Linked DNA regions of Mus musculus. The protein of the gene in region 2 purifies or fractionates together with the protein of the main gene of each other region. This does not show direct contact. Links are inferred from orthologs where the notes say so. Each region holds a gene or a part of one and is shown on either strand. Other genes may lie near its edges.

The links. The genes of interacting proteins can lie anywhere in the genome.
Region 1: the proteins of Fbxw7 (region 2) and Med13l purify together in Homo sapiens (affinity purification with mass spectrometry; 4 studies listed by BioGRID, with this or other methods). This does not show direct contact. The link is inferred for Mus musculus from reciprocal best matches to the Homo sapiens genes FBXW7 and MED13L.

What each region holds. Positions count from the first base shown.
Region 1 is NC_000071.6:118,557,672-118,564,353, forward strand, and holds the start of Med13l (mediator of RNA polymerase II transcription subunit 13-like), read left to right. Parts: upstream 1-3,047; 5' UTR 3,048-3,114; coding exon 3,115-3,186; intron 3,187-3,190; exon of another isoform or gene 3,191-4,140; intron 4,141-6,682. UniProt on the Homo sapiens protein: Component of the Mediator complex, a coactivator involved in the regulated transcription of nearly all RNA polymerase II-dependent genes.
Region 2 is NC_000069.6:84,963,879-84,969,848, forward strand, and holds part of Fbxw7 (F-box/WD repeat-containing protein 7), read left to right. Parts: intron 1-1,369; coding exon 1,370-1,504; intron 1,505-3,561; coding exon 3,562-3,685; intron 3,686-5,286; coding exon 5,287-5,423; intron 5,424-5,970. UniProt on the Homo sapiens protein: Substrate recognition component of a SCF (SKP1-CUL1-F-box protein) E3 ubiquitin-protein ligase complex which mediates the ubiquitination and subsequent proteasomal degradation of target proteins.

The DNA of each region.
Region 1 (6,682 bases), on a different chromosome or scaffold from region 2:
CTCATACTAGTTACATTCCAAGCCTTTATACACCTGTATTTGTGTCTGAATTGCTCTAAAGAGGATTACCGGGCCAAAGAGTGTACCCATTGTAAATGTAATTGTTATTTTTTAAAAATTCTTTTAAATTTATGTGTGTGTTTTGCTCCCATATTCTCTCTCTCTCTCTCTCCCTCCCTCCCTATCTCAACATGCATGTATGCATGTGTGTGGTGTTTGTGGAAGGCAGAAGAGGTTGGGTCGCCTGGAACTGGAGTTTCAGAAGGTTATAGGTGCTGGGAACTGAACCAGGGTCCTCTGCAAGAGGAGCAAGTGCTCTCAACCACAGAGCATCTCTGCAGCCCCAGTGGAGAGTTCTTGCCTGGGCATCCAAAGCTCTGATGCTGCTTTATACTCATGTCCTTACGACCCAAGGGCTCTGCTTCCTTCTGCATGTGTAAAAGCTGACATTGGCAGTGTGATCTTAACTTCTGATTTCCTTCCAGTATACCTGAGTCTGTTTGAATTGCTTGTGTTAACTGAGTTTTGGTAGACTAAATGACATAAAGTACAGAAACTTATTTGTATAATTTTGGAAGCTGGGAAGACTAAGGCTGAGGTATTGACCCATTTTGGTCCAGTTACAGCCTCCTTCCTGGTAATGACCTCATATGGCAAAGGGGGATAGGGGTGGGGGGACTCAAGTTTTCCTATGTCTCTTCAGAGGGCACTTATTTCAAGACAAGGAATTCATCCACGTGCTAACTACCATGTCGAAAACCTGTCCCTTGTAGTGTTTCAACATGAATGGTAAGTGGGACACAAATATCTGGTCCTAGCAATATATAAAGTTGAGCATTTTTTAAAAAATAATTTTATTTATTTTATTAGAAATGCTAGCATTCCTAATCTGTAAACTGTTTTTCTTGTTTTTTAAAAGATTTATTATTATATATATATAAATAAGCACACGATAGCTGTCTTCAGACACACCAGAAGAGAGAAAGTCAGATCTCATTACGAGTGGTTGTGAGCCACCAAGTGGTTGCTGGGATTTGAACTCAGGACCTTGGGAAGAGCAGTCAGTGCTCTTAACTGCTGAGCCAAATCTCCAGCCCTGTAAACTGTTTCTTATTTGTTTGGTTTTGCTTCTGTGCAGCATCCCACCCCCCTTTTCCTTCCCCTTATGACTTGCTTAGACTGTGACCAGCTCATAGCCTTTTGCCTACGCGTGTGATGAGTATGCGTGGATTCTGGGTGTGATGGACCATCTGACTGCTCAGGTCTCAGTAATACCACATGTGTGCATAAAGTGTCGGGCAACTCCCCCTTGTAACCCTTCCCCCAATAGCATCTTAACGGAAATGTGTGACCTTGGCTTGAGGTCAGCAGGTCAGCAATTAGGATTTGCTTTGGACAGATTAGAAAATGAGGCATAGTTAAACTTTGCTGGGCAGGGTCACAGCTAGGTGTAGCAGAGCCAGCTCCTGGCATCCTCTCCAGAGCCTCCTGAATTCAGATAGTTCAGGAGTTGAGCCACTCAGTAACTGGGACCTTGGGGATGCTATTGCACCCCGATTCTGAGGACTCTGTGAAATGACCTATGTGTTCGGGCCACCTTCATTCCAGGGTTTAAGGTTTGTGGTAGTCTCAAAACTCCATTCATATGTCAGATTTGTGCCCGCTTTATTTTGCTTCCACCGCTCTTTCCAGCGTTTTACTCTTCCTTTGTTTCTTGGAGACAGTGTGTAGACCAGGCTGGCCTGGAACTCATAGAGATACGCCTGCCTAATTCTACCTCTTTCCAAGTCAACTTTCTCCCTTTCTCTATTTCCACGACGAAAAGTCCTGGAAGGCAGTCTCCGGCATCAGCACTTCTCCCAGTCCCATTACTCTCTGAAGAAGGGATGCTGGTTATTATTGACCGCTTGGAGCTGGAGGAAGGGCCTGCTCCCCTCCACATAGCCCAGTGTGAATGTGGCACCTAAGAGCGCTGGGATCATCTATGTAAGGAATGCCTGCGTGCACGCACAGAGTGGGCGCCAAGGGCTCCAGCAGCCGGGATGCTTTAGGAGCTCAGCGCTCGGGAGGCAGTGAGTCCCGAGCCCTGGCTTCCCGATGCCTGGGTTCGAATCCCGCGACCCCGGGCAAGCACCTCGCTCGCTGCCTTTGTGTCTCTTTGAGTCCTACTCCTCCGCCCGGTGCGCTGCGGCAGGCAGGCCGGCGGGCGGTCGCGCGCGAGGTTTCGAGGAGGAGACACTCCTCGGCTCGCTCGGCCAGGCCGGGCCGGCCCACGCCGCTCCTCGGGGACCCGAGATGCTCCCCCAGGGGGGCTCGGAGGCCGCTCCGGGGAAGCCGCGGCCCTCTTCGGCCCGCGCCCGACGCGCGCCCGCGCCCAGGGCGGGGCGTCCACGCAGCCCCGGCGTCCCACGGCCGCCCGCACCTCTTTCTCTTCCCTCCCTGGCTCCGTCACCCCGCTCCGAGAGGGCCGCGCTCGCTCGGCTCAGCAGCGCCTCCCGCGAGCCACCACCGCCGCCGCCGCCGCCGCCGCCGCGGCCCCTCCCCCGCCCCCCGCGCGGCCGGCGCCCGTCACGTGACGCGCCGCAGCCAATGGCGGGCCGAGCCGCGGTCGGCGGCCGCCATTGCTGTCAGAGCGAGCGAGCCCGGGGAGGGAGGAGAAGCGCGGCCGACTGGGGAGGAGGGGGGGGGTGGGGAGGAAGAGGAAGGAGGGGACGGCGCTCGGCTGCCGGGGTCGCCCGCTGGCTTCGTCCGCACCCCCCCCTTCGCGGGCTCGCGCAGCGGCGGCGGCGGCGGCGGCGGCTCGGGGCGGCTGCGGGGCTCGCGTGCCTCCCGCGCCGGCGCGGCCGAGGGCGAGTCGCCCGCCGGCTTGGAGATAAACAAGGCGGCCGACGAGGCGGCGAGGCGGAGGCGGAGGCGGCGGCCCTGCGCGACAGAGGCGGGCGGCGTTGCCGGCCCGCGCCCCCCGCCGCCGCCGTCGTCGCCGTCGTCGCCACCGCCGCCCTCGGGCCTCCCGCGCGGGCCTCGCGCCCCTGGTGCCCGGGAGCCGCCGCCGCCGCCGCCCGGCCCGGCCCGCTCCGACATGCCCCGCTCTGGCGGCCGGGCTCGCGGAGGACCATGACCGCCGCGGCGAACTGGGTAGCGAACGGGGCGAGCCTGGAGGATTGTCACTCCAACCTCTTCTCGCTGGTGAGTGGCGGGGCGGGGGGGAGCCCGGGTTGGGGGGCGCGACCTCCCCGCCGCGCAACTTTCTCCTCCCGGAGCCCTGGCGGCGTCGGCGAGCGCGGCGCCCGGCGTGGACGTGCGTGGGGAAGTCGGGGCGCTGCGGACGCCGGGGCGCGCTCGGAGCGCCCACCTCCGTGGCAATCACACCCCCTCCCCTCCCCTTCCCCCCTTATTTTCTTTTTTTTTCTTTTTTCTCCTCCTTCCCCGAAATGTGGAAGGCTTTTCTGCCTTGTGCAGCCGCCGGCGCGGGTGAGCTGCAGGCTCGTCCTCTCTCTCTCTCTCTCTCCCGATCGGATCGGCTGCTCTCCCACTCGCCGGCGTCTGCCTTCTGATTTTTTCTTTCTCTCTTCCTCTGTTTCTCCGTTTTTTTCCCTTTTTTTTCCTTTTAATATTTCCACAATGACACCTGCGATTTCGCCCGAAAACAGTTGATGGAAGGCGATGGTGTCAGGGAAAAGGACTCTGGCAGCCGGAGCTCGCTCGCGCCGTTGTAAACACGGACAGCCGCCCGCCTCTCGGGGTTTACTACGCCGGAGAGCGGGAGAGCCATTGCTCGGAGCCCACGGAAGGTGGAGGAAGCTGCTGCTCCTCGCTCTCCTCCGCTGCCTTTAAAAACTGTTTTCTCTGCTTTAACAAGGAACACACACACACACACACACACACACACACGAGCAACAAGCTGGGCGGTTTGATAACATCGCTTTTATCTGCCTTCGCCTCTCCTCTCTCCCGCTCTCGCCTCTGATAATTGACAACTTTTGCTTTGGAAGTGCATCGCCTGCCTTAATCTCGAACCATTTAGGGTGTCAATTGTTCTTCTGGAAGCCTGGCACCGGGCGACGGCGGCTCGATTCGTCGAAATTAAAAATGTATAGAGCTCCAGCAACTCTTTCCTGGCGGTGGCAGTGACATTTGGTGGTAAATGCCATCTTTGCTTTTTATTGGGTCGTATTACCTAGCTCTGAAAACATTCGCGTTGTTAAACCCGGCGCTTACGCTGATAATGGGAGTGCATGGTCTTTAAATACGCGCTTTGTGCCTGAGTTACTGTGTGTGTGTAGCTATGTGCCCGGGAGAGTACGAATTTGTTTAAATATTGAGCAAAGATTTGTAAACAGATGTAAGGCAATTATGTTTCAAGCGTAGAATATAATTGGAAAATTGGTTGAACGGCCTATTTAATTTAGCCTTAAAAACTCAACTTATTTTAGTTGTGTGCCCAATTTTGGTGGGGAGGGTGCTGGGGGGGAGGGTGCTGACTTTTGGAGAGCATGCATTTATTGCAAATTATTTTCTGGAACCCCTGCTGCAGATAGAAGCTTTATTTCCTTTTAGTCCTTGTTTACACTGGATAAATAATTTAGTGTTCAAATTGTAATTAGTTACATTTAATTATGGGTGGCATAGATGCTTTTTCTCCCCTTGGAGACTAGTGGAGAAAGAGGAATTGTTGCCAACTTTGGAAGTGTCATTCTGTTTTCATGCTGATGAAGAAATCAAGCATGATTTTGGCCTACAAAGACACAGGAGTGACACAGTCCCCCTGCTCCCACTCTTGTAAGCAGGCTGATTCCTGATCACCCCGAATTTTATCCTGAGGCTGTTTCGAGGTTCAGTTAGAAGTTGGGGGTCCTTCCTTTTACCCCTGTGGTAATTTACCGTTGATCTTTTGATGTGAGGATAAAACTACTTCTGTCTCTTTTTTCACCCCCCCCTTCCCTTGTCTGTCATTTATTATTAGGTTCAGGGACCTTCATAGATCAGCAAATGTATTGACTAGGCGGTATTTACCCCCCCCCCCAACCAATTTGGTGACTGGGTGACCGCAATGACACTTTTATAGGTAATTAAAATAACCAAGTCAGCTGGTGTTAGCTGGGGAGAGCTCCCACTTGCTGTGCATCAGGCTGAGAGCAGTGCTGCCTGTGTGCATGTGGCTAATGTATACACAGTGTGTTGTGCAGGCAAATGCATGCCTGCTGACTGCACAGCTCCACTCTCAGCTTCAGGGATCTATGGGGTAGAGATGAGATGGTCCGGATTCTTTCTTTAATTTCTGGACTTTGATTTTGACTGCATTCTGGGTATTTCTCCGCTTAAACCAAAAAGTTGACTTGAATATAAAGTACAATTAACTTTTTTGGGTAACTCCATTGAAATGCAGAAATGGCTTAGATTAGTTTTAAAATGTAACGTATTTCCTGATACCTCGAGGTAGGTAAATGCTGTCTAGTTGTTTAAGAAATTTATCTTTATTTTATATGCATCGCTGTTTTGCCTGCTTGTGTGAGGGTGCTGGGTTCTTTGGGATTGGAATTAGAGACCATTGTGAGCTGCCACGAAGGTGCTGGGAATTGAACCCAGATTCTCTGGAGGATCAGTCAGTACTCTTAACCCCTGAGCCATCTCTCCAGCCCTAAACTTTCTTAGAAAACCAAGCCAAATAAAAGAGACCCACGGAAAACCAAAACCAAGAATAAACTGCCAACAGTCCTTTATTCGGATTCTTAATTGAGAATTTTTTTCTGAAGAGCATACACACAGCAGCAACCTATCTTACTTATTGAGAATACATTGCGTAAAGAACATTGTATAGAATAGTTGATTTCAAAGGAGAGGCATCCTTTCAAAATCTTTTTTTTTTTTTTTTTTGTCAGAACTCTAGGTACCTAGCATTTTGTATTTTTGAAAAGTTTGGCCTGCAGTTTTGTTTCTGAGTGCAGAATAGTCACTTCTGGAACACTACCCACCCACATGCTCCTGTTAGCTTGGATGGAGGTGTAAGCTGGAGCCGAGCCCCGAGGGAACGCGACCCACTACTTCCTGAGATCCTGAGGCCATCGCCAGGGCTTAGCAAGGCTGACTGAGCAATCAGGCCTCTTACGATTCTTGTTCCTAGGCTTTGACTGAGTTTGTTTTCTGATACTGCCTGGAGTCCTGTTTCCTACTCTTGCTTTTCTGTCTCCACCCCCACCCTAACCTGTGAAAGGCCATTGGATGGCTGTGATATGGGCCCTTGTGCTGTTTCTCTCTTCCTCCTGTGAGATTTGTAGCCACTGCAGGAAATCCATGCCTGGCTGGGCCTCTGTGACACAAAACTTTTCTCATGGTGGCCATCAAATTAAGTGTGCTAAATCTTCATTTTTGGAAAATGTAACCGTGTACCTTGTGGCACTGAACTCACCCTTAAGGGAAGACACATCCTAGTTTCCAGATGCCCAGTGTATCTTTGTGTGTTTCTTCTGAGATAATGTGGAGAAAGTGACTTGGTGCCCTTTAGGCTAGACTTAAGTATGCTGGGTACCGGGACAGGAGGGGACACTTCTAAGTTTTAGATTTTTGCTCCACATTCATGTCTGTTTTGCTTAAAGTCTCCCTGGCTGTAGGTAGCTGAGCAATGCTGTAAATCCTCACTGAGTTAAAACCCATGTACACCCTTTAGTACTTAAGGTCCTACTGA
Region 2 (5,970 bases):
AATCAATAAATTGTAATTTTAAGTTATTTATACTTTATGGTCAGTGATGAATCAAATTTGACCATGTTGTCAGATGGGCAGAATCTGTGGCAATGCCTGAATGCTCTGGGATCAGACAACCAATCCAGTGCTTTGGCTCCTGGGTGGGGCGTTCTTCGTGTTGCATTTCAAAGCTGTGTTGTGTAGAGATTGAGCACAGAGCCCTGAGGACAAGTGAATGCTTTCTACATTGTATGTGCAAGAGAAAGGAGAGCACATGACTTACTGGAGCCCCCCCCCCTCCTTACACTGGCAAAGTAGAGTAGGTCACGGACATAGTTCAGTGCTAACCCGAGTTCCATAGTTGTTCACATCACTGCAGAGTCTAAGGGAATACATACCTCTTGAATTACTCTGAGTGCCGCTTCCTGCAAGCCTTTGTGTTTCTTACATCTTATGGGATCCGAGTGCAAGTTTTAGAGGAAGAGCCATACCTTGCCTGTTACTCTTTACCCATCCATGTCCAAAATGGTGCATTAGCCCCTAGAGGTGTCTTCATCAGAGGCCTGTGTTGATATGTTTTCACGTAACAATTGTGAAGTTACTTAAATGTTTTACATGGTTATTATAAAATTCCAACATCTTAAATTATTCATATGGCCTTAAATTTGTTCCTTTAAACAGCCATGGCTTTTGTGAGCAGTCATGCTCACTGAGGGAAAATATTAAAAACAAACAAATGGGAAGAATTTTTTAAAGGAACCCATACTTTTGAAGTATATGTGTTTTCATTTTTCATAAGTACAGCATTTTTATTCATTTTGGGCTTTGATTATATTCAAATTTTGCAGTATTAACTCAGCTAATATTTTCTATTGCTTGCCATTTTTTAAAGTAAAGCATTTTTAAAGTGTGTAGAAGATACTTGTCAGATATGCAGAATAACCAACTATTAATTTTTTTATGTTGCAAATCTCTTAGCTCTTAGATGAAAACCTTATTCAAGCCATAAAATTTTATGGCTGTCCACTAAAGAGAATATATAGAGAAAAATGACCTATCAAAATTCCCTATTTATTCAGTAACCCACATGGATGTTTCTAGGACAAGATTTTCGTGTCTCCCAATGTCTTGGTGTTAGAAGAATGCATAACTCTCATAATTAAAAATAAATGCAGACTTTGGTTTTTTTGTTTTTGTGTTGGTTTGTTTGTTTGCCAGTCATGATTTTTAATGCTTTTTGGGAAAGTTACTGAGTAAACTTGCTGAAACTAAAACCTGCAGTCGCTTCAGTGGCTTCTGTCCATGGTTCCACTGCTCAAACATGGCCATGCAGGGGCTTGCGGGTCTTTTGTATGAATTTGTAATGTGTCCAATTCCTCTTTGGTAGAGCTGGAGCGGACCAGAGAAGTTGCTGGCTTTAGATGAGCTCATTGACAGCTGTGAACCAACACAAGTGAAGCATATGATGCAAGTGATAGAGCCCCAGTTCCAGCGAGACTTCATCTCCTTGCTTCCTAAAGAGGTAAGGGGCTGTCAACCGCATCCCGCTGGGTGCTGTCCAGTGGTTATGGGTGCATAACCACAGCCTGTAAGCAGTGTCCTGCTCATTATGGTTGACACTTGGACAAACTGCTATAGCCTTTTGGTACAGTTGTCACATAAAGTGCATTCATACCATGGTACTACTTCCTTCCACTTGGATAAAGTAAGGCTTTGTGTGAGAGTCACTGAGTTTCTTCAAGAATTTTTTCCCTAGGTTATCTAAAGGCTGGCTTTAGTTATTTGGTTATTTTTTTAGTTATTTAGTTGTGTTTATTATTTATAGTGGATGTTTTCAAAATTCTGGGTTCATTAAGCAGCAACATTATTTTTGTTTTTATTTTGTTAATTATCTAATGCCCCTTCAAATCAGAAATTTTATAATTGTTGTATTTCTCTGGTTATTACATTATACAATTTTTTTAACATATAGAATTTTACCTATATTCCTTTTTGGCATTTCTACTAATCATCATCCATCAGAGAGAGAAAGAGAGGAGAGAGAGATGACATAAAAATTGGATTCTTACAGCTCTTAATCATATAGCCATGTGTGGCTTATAGTTTAAATATAATGCACGTATTGACATTAGACTTAATAGCTTAATTTTTATCAAAAGAAAGGAATAATGTGATATTAAATAGTATCCTCATAGCCTATATTTTTTAAAATTACTATATACATGTAATAAATATCAGTTAAATAGCACAAAAAACTAACACATCATTCATACAATGATCCTGAACCCTCAAATTTGAACAGAAAGAGTTTTGCTTGCTCTTTTCTTAGATAATTACTCTAAATTCCTAGTGGTGTTAAATATAGTCCTAGATATAATCTGGCATTAGATTTGAGTAAAATCAGTGGAGTGAAGTACAACTCTGGGGAAAAGCAAAATTGATATTCCCCCCCCCCCCCGGTATCTTTTCCCTTTTGGAGTACTTTTTAAAAATGACATTGTCCCAGAAGAAAAGTGTTTATTCTTGTGCCCTTTTTCTACAGCAGAACTCTTTGAATAAACTTAGAAAAGTAACATGAGATCTCCTTTGCTTCCATCGGGGCGTAAAATAATAGGGGACATTTTTTGTAAGTGAAGTAGATATTCATCTTGATTATTTTACATGGCCGATACCCTCCTCTAGAATATGCATATGTGTAGTATGTTCATGTGTTCAAGTGGGTGTACATATGTACATGCAGATGTGGTCTACCACTGAATCGAGAGCTTACCCATTCAGCTAGAGTGGCAGCTGTCCAGTGAGCAGTGACTGTAGCTAGAATTGCCATGCCTAGCCTTTTACAAGATGGGATCCAAGCCCTTATCTTCATCATTACACATGAAATGTTACTGACTGAGTCATCACCAAGCTCCAGAATTTGAAAGTGTTTTAGAATTTAAGAAGTAAGCACAGGTGATTAACAAAAGGCAAAGCCCCAAAAGATTCTCTTGCCTTCGGTGTTCTTTCAAAGACTTCCTGAGGAAAAAAGATGTTCGGAAGGAGAGAGCCCTGGCTTAGCATATCAGCTATGGTGTTTTGTTTCCTGCTACTGGGGTGTTCTTCACTTGGGAAGTGCTTTATGTCTATGTGGAAGAATAATGGTATAGGCTTAACCCTATAGGGAATTATGTTATTTAAAACTTTATTACCATTTATTACACAAAATGTACTTGTATATATATATATTTTTGATAATTGGTGTGAACAATTTCAAGTCTCTTTATCAACATTTATTTAGGTTATCTAAGTGCTTGAGCACTAGGCTCACACAAGAAACCTGTGATAAGTGGCATTGCTCTCACCTTGTAAGTAAATACCAATAAAATCACAGGTCACCCAGAATAAAGCCTCAGATTCCTAATATGAGATTAGTGAGCATTTTCTTTGCTCTTAAAATCCTGCTTTTCTTGATTTGTTCAGCCACTGAAATGCAGTAGTCCTAGCAAGATGCTCAGCCTGGGTAGAGTAACCTTTTTTTCTGTGATTTTTTTTTTTTTTTTTTGAAGTGTGAGTATGCCTTCCCTATTTCCTTTTCCATAGTTGGCACTCTATGTGCTTTCATTCCTGGAACCCAAAGACCTGCTGCAAGCGGCTCAGACTTGTCGATACTGGAGAATTTTGGCTGAGGATAACCTTCTCTGGAGAGAGAAATGTAAAGAAGAGGGTAAGTTCAGAATCACACACAGATGTGTTTCTACTCTGGAAACAAGTTAACAGAATAACTTGGCTGTGAGTGAGAGTAGATGGCTGGCTCAGGTGCCTGCCAGAATGCGTCTGCGTCTGTTCACTTCCTTGATCCCAACAGGAAAGGAGGCCACCTGATTTAAAGGAAGCCACAAATCTGCAGTTAAATACCCACAGAATTGAGTATTGTATATACTCCTCGAATAAACACTTACTGTGCACCTCCTGTGAGCTGAACATTTGTAAATGCTGGGGACATGGCACTGCTTCATCCTAGTCTCCCTGTTGTGGACCTTCTATTATTAAGTATAGTTTAGTTTGGCTTCAAAGGGAGAATCTTCTGTTTTGTAAACAGGTATCTAGAAAAGTAATCATTTAGAAAAAAATAGCTGTTTCTGAGGGGCAAAATGCTTGAGGGGGGAATGGTAATGCTCTGTTCTATAGATCAGGCCCCTTGGCAGCCGTGTGACCAGGTAGAGAGCACTGACGAGTGAGGCGGAGGAGGGAAGACTCCAGGGTAGGATCTCAGGTGCTTCTTGCTGAGCCTGGTTCTACAGTCAACCTCTGGCTGTTCCTAGATTAACTGATAAGATCCTCTTCTTAAGTTGTGCGGGTTTTTTGTTTTGTTTTATGTAAACCACGGTGAATCAACTCTGCCTTACCTTCTTTCTCAGAATCTTTTTTCCCCTTGAGACAGGGTGTCTCTATACAGACCAGGCTGGCCTTGAACTCATGAAGATCCACTTTCCTCTGCCTCCTGAATTAAAAGGATATGGAATTAAAAGGGTATGCCACATACCTAGCTTAAGAGTTCTTTTTAAATGTCCTCTTAAAAAACTATATTTCGTAAAAATGATTCTGAACAGCTTGGTTTATATAGCAAGTTCCAGGGCAGTCCAGACTGTGATAATAACCTGAGGTAATGGGGTTCATTGTACTCATAGCACTTAGGAGGCAGAGACAGGATTGCTGAAAGCTAGAGGCCATCTTGGTCTCCATAGTGAGTTCAAGCCATTTTATTGAGTAGGATGCAGTGATATTCTCCCCATTCTTCCATTCCTGTTGCCTACATGCTTTATAAGTTTACTGTTGTAGGAAACTATGATAAGTGAAATTATACAACATTTGTCCTTTTGTGATTGCCTTATTCACTGAGCAAAATGTCACAGCGTGTATCCCCGTGTCCTCTGTTAAGGCGAGCAGCATTTCAGGGTGCACTGCTGCATTTGGTGTTCATCTATGGAAAGGCACGGTGACTTGTATGGACAGCCGTTCACATCTCTGCTTTTCATCCTTTTGCATATACATGCAGAAGTGAAAGTCCTGCATCCTGCACTGCGTTTGTGTATTTAGGAGTCACTGTGCTAATTTCCACAGCAGTGCACATACAGTCTCATCTTTGCGTGTTCATACCAGCACCTCCCACAGTCACTGTGAGAGAGAATGGAGATAGAACAAATGGAGGTTCAGTGCTGCACAGCCCAGTATCTGGGCCAAGCAGAGAAAACAAGAACTTTATAAGATGTGTAATTTTTATTAGTGGTGAAAAGAATTATTCTCTTGAACTCTTTGATACTTTAGGGATTGATGAACCGTTGCACATCAAGAGAAGAAAAATAATAAAACCAGGTTTCATACACAGCCCATGGAAGAGTGCGTATATCAGACAGCACAGAATTGATACAAACTGGAGACGAGGAGAACTCAAATCTCCTAAGGTAACAGACTCTTGACATACTAACAGAAACCTTTCTTCAGGAACAATGCCTGCTCTCTTCATGTGTTGGCTGCAGTGTAACTCAGTGCCTATCTTTTATGGAAAGGAAGCAGCTCTATTTCAAAATTAACTCAGAGTGTTAAGATCAGTGTTCTTTTATTTCTCATTTCTTTAATCTGATAATTTTATTGTAATCAAGGATGAGTTGATTCAGGCATGGTACCACATGCTTGTAGTCCCTGTATTCAAGTGGCCAAGGCAGGAGGATTACTATGAGTTAAAGCCAACCTGAGCAATATACTGAGCTCTAGGCCAACGTGAGCTATAGTATGAAGCCTTGTCTCAAAAATGTTTCTCCCCAAAAAGGTGAGTTGAGACAGTGTGTGATACTGTGCTACCATGATTCTCACTATGAGTTTGCAGCCTTCTAGCCTCACAGGCCAAATGGATTTTTTTTTGTGTTTGTTTGTTTTTAATGATTTGAAGCAGAAGTCTCATTTTCTGTCTTAGAATATTATTTCAGATGTGTAAATGGTAGAAATACTAAA